Caenorhabditis elegans: one gene and its partner. The protein of the gene in region 2 purifies or fractionates together with the protein of the main gene of each other region. This does not show direct contact. Each region holds a gene or a part of one and is shown on either strand. Other genes may lie near its edges.

Region 1 (3,404 bases), on a different chromosome or scaffold from region 2:
AGGAGAGGAGGACGCTCATTTGTCATCATTTCTTAACTCTTTGACCCGTTACTTGTCGTTTTCCCTTTTCTCTCGTTTACTCTGTTTCGACGATGCAATTCGTCTGTTCCCTTTTACTTAATAAACCCTTATAAGATCGATCAGTGTGCGTGAGTGGCAGTTACATCCTATACCTTTATTCTATTAATAAAATAATTCTATTGATTTGATTTATTACCGATTAAACTCGTGATGAAATAAAATAAGAGTTGTATTGTATAAAGACATGGATAAACTAAATACATAATGTTGTACAAAAACAGTATTAAACATTCTTAGAACTATTATATTCTGACTATTTTTTGTTCAGATCGAAATTTACAGGCTTATCTTCTAGTCCGCCCTTTTTAAGACTTCACACAATTCAGGCCTATATTTCGCAAAATTCAGCAAAAAAACTGGCGTCATGGTGCATCGACTATCGATTTTTCGTAATTTTCAGCCATTTCTAACCCATTTTTCAGATATTTTCCCCTTTCTCCCAATATTTTATCTCATGTGCATCGAATCCATTGGTAAATGATCTCCTGATTAGCGCGCGCGAATTTCGATTTTTTTGCAAAAAAAGAGATCTACAATATTCAAAAAGTTCGAATTTAAAATATTCTTTACGATATTATGTCCTTTGAACTAATCAATAACTAGACAAAAAAAATCGATAATTAGTATCTAGGCGGCTTTTGTCTTGATCGTGAGCCCATGCATATCCTTAATCTGCTCCCGGAGAATGGAGGTGACCTGTTTGTGTTGAGCAACTTTCGATTTTCCCTTGAAACCGGCGGCTTCAACGACCACGTCGAACATTGATCCGCAGCCATCTGTAATATGGAGCTTGTAGTTTGTAGTGTATAGTTTGTAGTTTGTAGGGTATATTTTGGAGTTTGTAGTTAGTTTTGTATAGTTTGGAATTTATAGTGTACATTTTATAGTTTGTAGTGTTTAGCTTGTAGTTGGTCGTATACAATTTGTAGTTTGTAGTGTATAGATAGTAGTTTGTGGATATATTTTGTAGTTTGTAGTGTATGGTTTGTAGTTAGTGTTGTATAATTTGGAATTTATAGTGTACATTTTATAGTTTGTAGTGTATAGTTTATAGTTTGTAGTGTTTGGCTTGCAGTTTATATTTCGTAGTTTGTAGTTTGTAGTTTATAGTATACAGTAACTAACTTGTTTTTCATTATTTCTACCATTAATTTTGTGAGCGGAACAAAAAAATCATGAATGAATACCCCACGTATAGACTACAAACTACAAATATTAGTCTGATTATACTAGTTTATAGTATGTCTATTGTAGTTTGTAGTGTGATTATTGTAGTTTGTAGTGTATATTTTGTAGTCTGTAGTATGCCTATTGTAGTTTGTAGCGTACTCACTAGAAACATCGTGAACCTCGACACGAGTACATCCATCAATTCCCTCAGTGAGCAACTTGCTCATTTTCAGCTCGGCTTCTGACATTTTGTGCTCTCCACCACAACATGCCGAGTGACGCCTGATTGCTGAGGAGAGGAGGCCTGATCTCAGTGGGGTGGCAAGGCGGAGCATCTGAAATTTCGAGAAATGATAGCTTTTTTTTCGATTTTTTTCAGATTTGGAGAGAAAAAAAAACAAGAAATTTCACATTTAAACAAAAAATTTGTTATTTTTTCAAATTCTCGAGGTTTTTATAAATTCTGAAAAATGCCGAAAATTCGTAATTTTAGCTTTTTTAGTTTAAAAATTAGAAAAAAAATTGAAATTTTCGAAAAAAAATCAATAAATGTTCTATTATATATTATTATTATATATTTTATATATTATTAAATATTATTATATTATTATATACTATTATATATTATATAATAAATGTTACATTTGTTCTATTTTTCAAAAAAGTAATTAAATTTTTTTTTTTCGAAAAAATTTTCAAAAAATTCAAACTTTTTTAAAGATTTTCTAGAATTCAACTTCGACAAAAATTCGTAATATTTGAAAATTCCAAAAAATTACCAGAAAATGCTTTAAAAGTTAAAATATTTATCTAGTTAATTAGAAAGTATTCCTTTAGCGAAATATTCAAAAAAAACTTTTTTTAATCAAATTTTTCAAATTTTACATTCAAAAAGTCACCTGCAATGCATAATTTACATTACATGAAATTGAATTTTTTTGATTTTTTTCCCAATTATTAAGCTTTTAAAAATTAGCTTAAAAATACAGATTGTCAACATTTTTCAGAATTTTTTTGTTGAAAAAATGCGAATTTTCTCAAAAAAAAAAATCAGTTTCAAAATTGTGAAAAAAAAATTCTAAATGGTTTTTTTTTAAATTTAAGCTTCCGTGATTACTATAACATTTTCAAAAAATTGAGGAAAAAATTCAAAAAATGTTTTTAATTTTTCAAAAAAAAAAGCTCATCCTAAAAAACACCGTAATTAGCTAACTTTTTCAAGAAATTCAAATTTTTTTTCCAAAAAAAAAAAAAAAGGCAAATAGCATAAATTGATATCCTAAATGGACAACAGAAAATATAAAAATCAGAAAAAATTTTTCAAAAAAATACTTGTATTGCATTGTAAAAACGTCATTGCACAATCGAAAATTCGAAAAATAAAAGACCACGTAAAATACAAAAAATCGGGAAAATATCCAAAAAAATCAGTTAAAAAGTACAATTATCGTAGTGTAGCAATCTTTGGAATACTCCTCTCATCATGATAATCACTAACATATCCTAAACTCGAACCATCTTCACTTGTATCCCCTAATATTCGTTGTTTCTGTACTTGAATTGCTGCTTCGGATTCCGGAACAACTTTTTCATTTTTCACCAAATTCGGCAATTTTTCTTCACTCGTATTCATTCCACAATGCTTTTTTAGTGACCATTGCATTGCCCAAATCGATAGAGGACGCATGTAACCAATGGCTCGGTAGAATCTGAAATTCGGATATTTTAGGATTAATTTTTGGGATTTTTTAAAGAAAAAATGTTTGGAAATAAAAAAAAAATTCCAAAATTATTGTTTTTTTGGATATGAATTTTTTGTTTCTATTTTTAAAAATAAATTTCCATTTTTTGGAATTAGTTTTATGAATTTTTGCTTTTTTGAATATCCAAATTTTTCTGGAATCAAAAAAAAAAAAGTTTTAATGTTTTTTTTTAATTTTTTGTAAAGTTTCAAACTTTTTTTTTTGGGATTACGAGTATTTTTGGAAGTTTGAAAAAATAATTTTTGATTTTTTTGGATTTTTTTCTAATTTTTGAATTTTTTTTGGGATTTTTTTTAGAAATGTGTGGAAAATTTTTTTTTTTTTTTTTTGGAAAAATCTATTAAAAAAAACAAATTTCAGTTTTTTTTTTCAACAAATTTCTTTTCCTCA
Region 2 (8,073 bases):
TGCGAAAACAAGATCATGAGCTGAAAGTGATATATAATGAGCGTGATCAGACGAAAGCTGCAATTGATGAATTCGATAGAAAATTGTCAAATCTTCGATCTCAAGAATTGCAGAAAGAACGTCAGGCAAAAGATTTGAGAGCAGAATTGGCGCAAACTGCGAATGAAGATCAAGTGGAAAATCTGAATGAATCTATTGAGGAAATGCAGAAAAAGATTCCTTTAATCGAGGATGAAGTCAAAGATATTCTGAAAAATGTGGCAGACATCACTGCAGACATGGCTCCAGTTATTCAAGAGAGGAAAGAAGCGGAACATACGCTAGCGGAAATTCAAAAAGAAACACGAGATTTTGCAAGTAAATCCCAGAAACTTCAAAACGAATTGAGCAAGTATGACGACGCCGGAGAGATTCTCAAAATTCGTCTCGATAAAGTGAAAGCTGACGAAGGTGTATTCTTCCACACAGAGGCGAAACTCAAATCTGAAAGAGACGATGCGATGGAAATGGTGGAAAACGACAAAAAGAATCATCCAATGCCACCTGGCGAGACAGATCCACCAGATCTTTCAAGTTTCCCGTCGACGACTGAAGCTCAGAGAAAGATCGAAGAAATGCAGAAAGCAGTTGACAGAGCAACAGTTGGATGTGACACTACTATTACTCTTGAATGTGTTAAAGACTTTAAAGATAAACTGAAAAGGTTGAAGTATCTGTGTCGCATGATTGAAGATGTTCTCATCGAGCTTAAAAATCTTCATGCAGCCCGTGTAAAAGCATATCCGAGCTTGAAAAAGTTCACGGAATTGAAGGTGTGTAACAAGTTCCAGGAGTTGCTCGCAGTTCGAGGTCATTTTATCGGTGGTCTCGAATTCGATCACGAGAAGGAGACACTTAATGTGAATGTTCAATCTTCTAAAGAGAAGGATGCGATGGCTGGACGAAGACCTGAAGTCCTTGAGGTAGAAGAAGTCGACGAGCATTCGTATGATGATGATAGTGACGATAGTACCGGTCCGCGTAGAAAGAAGTCCAAGAAGAGCGGCCAGAAAAAGAAGAGAGTTCGTGATCTGAAAGGATTATCCGGAGGAGAACGGTCTTTTGTGACTGCCGCACTCGTCATGTCCTTGTGGGAAGTTATGGAGCAGCCATTCCGAATGATGGATGAGTTTGATGTCTTTATGGACATGATGAATAGAAAGGTGAGATCTTGTAGGACTCTTTCAGTATGAACATTAAATATTTTGTTATTTTTCAGCTGGTGATGGATTTGCTCGTCGAGCTGGCCACCAAGAAGTTCCCTCACAATCAGTTCATCTTCTTCACTCCACAAGGAATCAAGGAACTCAACATGGTCGATGGTCTTCAAGTTTTCGAGATGAACAGAGTCCGCGACTAGATATTGGCAATAAATTGTTGATAATTTGTAAACTAAAGATATCTTTCTCTCTTGTGCATCTCATTCCAAATGCTTTACAGTCCCCATATATTTTTTATCGGACCCTAACGATCTTTTTTATTGGTTTTAAAGCCCCCTGTCCTCCTAAATACCAACCCCATGACAAAATTAAATTCCAATCTCCTCCTGATACCATACTTTATTTTTTTACCCACTTTATTTTGAAGTCTTTAGTAAAATGAAAAGAATCATTTTAAATTTAAATTATTGAGCCATTTCTATCGAAACGAGTTAATATTCTCATTTCACTTTTGTTTTATCTTGTTCAATTTCTACAATAGGGGAATTGAAATTGGAAATCTTTCAGAATGTCTGGGACCGCTCAAGCCCAGTTGTTTGATAAGGGGCTCCGTGGGAGCACTTCTGAGCAACTGGCAACAATCTCGACGCTCAGCAGGCTTTTCGAAGAAAATCCAGCGCCAACATTTGTGAATGCGATGCTTCTTCGTGTAGCTGACGCTTTTAAAGATGGGTAAGAAAATAATTCTGAAAATTAAAAATTGGTTACAAAACGGCCGAATCTCGTGATGAGCCCTTCTAAAAATTTCTCCAAAAATAGCTTCTTCAGTTGCAAAGTTTCAGAAAAAAAGCATATTTCCAGCTAAAATCCCCAATTTTGTAAAATTGGCAAGTCTAGAAATCGCGTAAATTGTTTTCTTTTGGTCAAGTTGGCAAAAAATTTGTATTTTTTCCAAAACTTTTGACCGCGATAACATTACGAAATTCGTAGTTTTGGGCCATTCTAATATTTAATTTTAATATTTTCTAATCTTCTAGAAATCTGGACTTGCGCATCGCCATCGCTCGTGCTCTTGGACAATGTGGCTCACATCTCACACTGGCTTTTTCCTCTGCAGAAATATTCCGAAGAATTCTGACAGTTAGCCACTCAAACGATCCAAATGCTCGAGAAAATGTGTTGGATGTGCTCGCTGTGTTATCACCTTTACTCCCGGAATCCAATCAATCACATCATTTGATTCGAGAATCTCTATCCACAACTCATGAAGGAGAATTTCGAGCAACATGTAATGCTCTCAAAGCATTCGCATCAATATCCCATTCGTTCGCCGAATCGATTGTTCTTCAAATCGGAAAAATTCTTGAAGAAGATGATGCTTCAGAGCCACGGAAGATTCAACTATGCACAGCATTTTCTACAATGAGTGCGACAGCTCAAGTTGTGGAGCAAGTGTTCTCTGTTGCTGACACAATTCTTCACAGAACTATAACAGACGATTACTTTCACGCATTTCTGAAGTCTACGACGAGTTTGTGCATTGAGATTCGATATGCTATTTCGAAACAAGTATGTCGGTGTAGTGAGCATGGAGATTTTGCTTCATATAAAATAGTCTCAAAATCAGAAAAACCACAGAAGATATGGAAAATCGCGTTTTTAAATGTAAAATTCATCATTAATTAGCGATTTTTTTTCGATTTTCTTTTATGATTTTTCTGAATTTAAAACCCTTTGGTTGTTTTTGAAGCAACATTTTTCCATTGGCGCTGTTTTCTCCTCTTTAAATTGTCCTTCCATCTTCAGATCGACGTATTGCTCAATCTTCTCAGTCCATCCAACACCAGGACGAGTCGTCCATCCCGAAATCGAAGAATGATTATTGTGAGGCAGTTGAGACGGCTTGCAAATTTTCCGAATATTTGGAATGAGCAGCAAGTGCTGGTAATGAATTTTTTTGTGTTTTTAATGTGAAGAAAAGGATTTTGAAAATTTTCACGTTTCAAAACTTGTAAATTCATAAATTCATACGCAAATATATTTGAATTTTTATAAATTTAAATATTAAATTTCAAAAAAAAAATACTGCAAAACGCCACCGAAATGTTCAGATTTTTAAGCCAAAAATACGCATTTTGGCTAACACAAAAAATTTTGCGCCTTTAAAGATTACTGTAGTTACAAATCCTTCTTTTTGCGGAATTTCTTATCGATTTTTACATATTTTTTCAATAACAATATGCACTTATTTATTTGGATCTCAAAAATACAACATAAAAACTAATAGTTTTTATAAGTCGAAAAAAAAGAAAATTTGAAACTACAGTAATCCTTGAAGGTGCACACACCTTTCCACATTTAAAGAAAAAATGTCGTTTCGAGACCGGCTACCGTAATTTAAGCGAAAAATTTCGCGTCTGAATAATTCGAAACATTGAAAAAAATTTCAAGACGTTCGATTGAAAAAAAAATCGGTCGTTTTGGGCCAGTTTTAGTATCTGAACCAAGGCTGTTGCAAAAAAAAAAAATTCGACCAAAAAACGAAAAATCGAATTTCTTCAAAAAAAAAAGCTTTTTTCATCATACCAACTAAAACATAACATTAATGAGAAACAAGTCCGAAAGAAAAGGAATAAAATCAAAAAATCAATTTTTGCCAAAAACACCAAAAAAACAAAAAAAAATCCACGAAGTAAACAGCTAATTCCAGATATTCGTGGAATCCCTCCGACCATCAATGATCGATGAATCTCTAATGGACTTTTTCGATGCCACAACTTCACTTGTTAAGAACTGTCCGAAGGAAAATCTTCTCGCATTGAAAGGTCTCGTGATATCCAGCACTGGATATGGATCCCTGGCGAATCCAGAAGTCACCGTTCGATTCGTCTATTTCGCTTCACAAGTTGTGTGCTCACCGAGAACATTTGAAGATGACACTCCAGAGTTTATCAATTCAACGATGACCTCGCTGACAGTTGTTGTGATAAATACTTGCACTTGTGGAAGATTGAAAAATAGACTTGCTAATAAGGTACAAAAACTCTACCGTATTTTTTTTCCTTCTAAATTATTAAATTTTCAGCTATTCCGTGCAATTGGTGACATTCTCCTATCATTCCCGTACACTGATCATTCGTTTTCTTCAATGATAATCTCAGCTGTGTTCTCAGCATTTGAGTCCATTGTTTCAAATGATAATAATCAAAAAGAACGTCTAGAAATGTTATGTCGACTCGTGGACTCTGAGAAGCTCTACATTCCAGAAATTCATAAATGGGCATGCAAAGTTATGCAGGAACAAGTGAAACTATTCTCCGCATATCCAAGTCAATTCTCATATTTGTGCCTTGCTGTTGGAACGAGTCTCCCGAATGATTTTCCAAAAGTTTTCTACAAGGATTGTCAGGCTTCAATGTATGGTACCGCGAGGAGCGCATTCAGAAATGGACAGTGGAAGCATGTGGCGTCTCCAAATTTAGCAAGCATTGACTTGTCCAGTCTCCCAGAATTTGAAAGAAAATGGATCACAGCTCTTCGAGAAATCGCAGATTCTCAATTGCTCGAAATAGAGCCTGATCAGCTTGAAAAGCAGCAGTCCCACCTGTCAAGTGCCTTGTCTGCACTGAAATCAGGCAAATCAAATACTAGATTTGGCAATGATCTTCGATTTCCAATTGGGATGGTCTCTGCGATGCTCTCAAGTTCATATGCACATTTCCATCTACTCTCTGTGATTCGTCCATTTATTTTCTCATTATCCGGTGCTCTTCAAACTAATTCGTTTTTCAATCCGGTCGTTGCGCAACGATTATTGGTGGCGGTTAGTGACTTTTTCTTTAAAAAAAAATTGACAAAAAAGGAGAACGAGTCTGGTTTTGCAAGCATGCGGCGCGGTTTGTTGCATGTCGATTTACGAGAGAATTTGTACTACACACGGACAAGTTGGAATTTTGGTTTGTTCTCGTTGTTTTAAATGAAATTTTGCTTGAAATTCTTGTTTTTAGACAATTTTGTCTAATTATTTTTGTATTTAATATTGAAAATGACGAATTTCTAACATATTAACAAGTTTTCAAAGACGATGTATTCATTGTTAAAATGCACAGAAAACGATTTTTTTTGTTGTCAGCAATGATTATATCGACTTTGACTTGAAACCTTGTAAATATGTTCGAAAATGGTAATTTTCAATATTAAGTACAAAAATAATAAGGAAAAATAGTCTAAAAACAAAAATTTCAGGGAAAATTGTGTTTAATACCACGAGAAAAAAGCGAAAATTCGCACTTGACCGTGTGTAGTACAATTTATCCCGTAAATCGACATGCAACAAACTGCGCCGCAGTCTTGCAAAACCACGCACCGCTTTTTATCTCTTTCTGAAAATTATTTTAATCCGAAAATGTGCCTTGCAAAATTCACTGCATGACAATACTGTTTAGAAAATAATTTCAAAAAATAAGTCCATTTGAAAACTAATAAAATAAAAATTCCAGCTCTCCTCATGCGAATTGTCTATAAATGAAGCTCTCAACGAATGGTCAGCTCTGTGCCGAGCGAGTTTTTGTGCTGATTCAACATCTTTCGATCTCATAACTCTCTACTATTTGCGGGTTTCGATTCTTCTCGTTGCGGTTAGAGTCGTTCTTAAAAAACAATCTTCAGAAACGTTGGTTTTTCTTTTATTTTTTTGTGAAAATAAATTTCGCTAATTTTACAGAATAATTCAAATTCCACCATTGACAACTGCCCGTACATGTTCATTGTTTCAAAGAGAGCGACTTCAGTGGATTATTGAGAAAATTCGACTTTTGAAATATGAAAATTCTCCCAATATTCATGTGAGAATACAATTTTCGGGAGAATTTTTTAAAAAAAATTAATTTCAGACTATCAAAACGCTACTATCCATTCTAAATCAATTGACCATTCTACCATACATGCTTCCGAGATTCTTCTTCCAGCAGTTTTATCACGTCGATTTCAAGGTAGCCGGAGAAAAAATCAAATTTATTAGAAAATTCCTAGAAGATACTGAAATTTCTCCGGAAATATGCAAATAACAAAAAAAAACGTAAAAAAGTTGATATTTTACCGAAAAATTAATTTTTTTAAAATAAAAATTGGAAAATTGAAAAAAAAGATTTCCTGCCAAATAACATTTTTTTATCAGAATAAATTTGTGCTCATTCCAGTACAATTTTTCAGCTAAAAATTAAATTTGAATCCGTTTCAATGAGAATCGTTAATTTAAAATTCAAAAAGGATCCTACAGTACTTCTTCGAAAACTAAAAAATTGCATATTTTCCTAAACTACAGTAACCCTACAGTACACCCACATCACCACGATTTAACACGATTAAACGATTTTTTCCGGCAAATCGGCAAGTTGCCGGGATTGAAAATTTTCGGCAATTGCAGCCCACCCCTGATTCAGAATATCAAAATTAAAAAATTGTTTTCGTAAACCATCATCAATTTGAATTTTAACAAGTTTTATTACTTTTTAAAATTACAAGTTAAAAATTACAAATTTTTTAATTCAAATTAATTCCACCAAAATTTTTCAGATTTCAACATCACCAGAAGCTGGAAAGGACAAGACAATAAACGTATTCAGTGGTGAGACAATCCCTGTCCGTGTAGATGGAGCCATCACATCAACACATCCATCGCCAATTCGATCCATCATTGTTTTTGCGGAAATCACACATCTGGCAAATCATGCGGTATAAGCCTTTCTCAACGAAAAGTCCATAAATTTTATAATTTTCAGCAAAATCAAATTCTGCAAGAGTTAGTTGAGCCGAGCGAGAACAACTACTTCACGGCGCAATTCCTGCTCAATTTTAAAACTGTAAAAATAACCACCAAATCAAAAAAAAAATTTTAATTTTCAGGCATGCGACGTCAAATTCCGAATCGAATTCATTGATCAAACATCACGAAAGCAGTGGAAAGCGTATAATGTGACGACACTTCACTTCACAGTTCGCGAGAAATATTCATCGGTCGGATTCGAGCTGAAACGAGTCGGACATCAATTTCCACCGGATCCCAGGAGGCACTTTCCGAAAGGATCGTTGTTTCATGCTGAGGCGTGAGCAGAGAAATAGAGCATATCGTGAATAATTTTGAATTTGAACCATTTTTCCTTCTTTTTTTATTTAAATCGACACAAAAATAATATTTATTTCGATTTTAAAAATAACTAGAAATTGTTGAAACTTTAATGAAATTAAGAGTGCCAATTAGCTTGATGAGGTAAAATTGTCTCACCACGATTAACAAACAGGGTGGTCTTCCGTTCCATGGGCCGAGCACACCGAGCACAACGACGACAGGAGGTGGTAGCATGGGCAACTGAAAAGTTTCAGATTCATCTAATGAAATTAAATTTGAATTCAAACAATACCTCCATCTAATGCTGCTCCAGAAATGCTCTTCATAGCGTTATCCTGTAAAACTGCAAACTTTCGATCGTATTTCTCATGAGCTTCTCGCCAGGCAGCTTCAACTCTAGGATCCGGTTGAACAATTATCGGACGGCTTTCAGTTTTGGTCAATGGGTACAACATTTTCGAATTTTCATGCAACTGATCTCTCAATTTATCATATTTTGCTCTTCGATTATCTCTCATCACCATATCATCATGAGCTTGACGAGCTTTAAATTCTTCCAGCATTCCAATTGATTGTCTGAAAAAATCTTATTTTTGGATCATTCGCAGCGCGGTTTTACTTCGTGGCCGTGAAATAAGAAGCCTCGGTCAAATCAGTGGCCGAGTTTTTCCTTTTCTCTAGGCCACGTAGCAAAAACCGTTCTGCGTGAAAAAGAAAACGAACTTGAAAGTCTGATTCCTTTCAACT

Evidence for each region.
Region 1: the proteins of ints-7 (region 2) and Y105E8A.11 fractionate together in Caenorhabditis elegans (co-fractionation; one large-scale study listed by BioGRID). This does not show direct contact.

The regions. Positions count from the first base shown.
Region 1 is NC_003279.8:14,430,975-14,434,378, reverse strand, and holds Y105E8A.11 (BolA-like protein 3), read right to left. Parts: upstream 1,589-3,404; 5' UTR 1,587-1,588; coding exon 1,415-1,586; intron 858-1,414; coding exon 709-857; 3' UTR 629-708; downstream 1-628. Other genes in the region: hpo-13 (Non-lysosomal glucosylceramidase), read right to left, coding at 2,696-2,960.
Region 2 is NC_003280.10:11,581,083-11,589,155, forward strand, and holds ints-7 (Integrator complex subunit 7), read left to right. Parts: upstream 1-1,766; 5' UTR 1,767-1,767; coding exon 1,768-1,931; intron 1,932-2,236; coding exon 2,237-2,768; intron 2,769-3,005; coding exon 3,006-3,143; intron 3,144-3,909; coding exon 3,910-4,233; intron 4,234-4,284; coding exon 4,285-5,022; intron 5,023-5,698; coding exon 5,699-5,871; intron 5,872-5,922; coding exon 5,923-6,043; intron 6,044-6,091; coding exon 6,092-6,190; intron 6,191-6,773; coding exon 6,774-6,932; intron 6,933-6,979; coding exon 6,980-7,060; intron 7,061-7,103; coding exon 7,104-7,307; 3' UTR 7,308-7,409; downstream 7,410-8,073. Other genes in the region: Structural maintenance of chromosomes protein 6 homolog smc-6, read left to right, coding at 1-1,202, 1,259-1,399; F07A11.1 (uncharacterized protein), read right to left, coding at 7,442-7,566, 7,619-7,902, 8,050-8,073.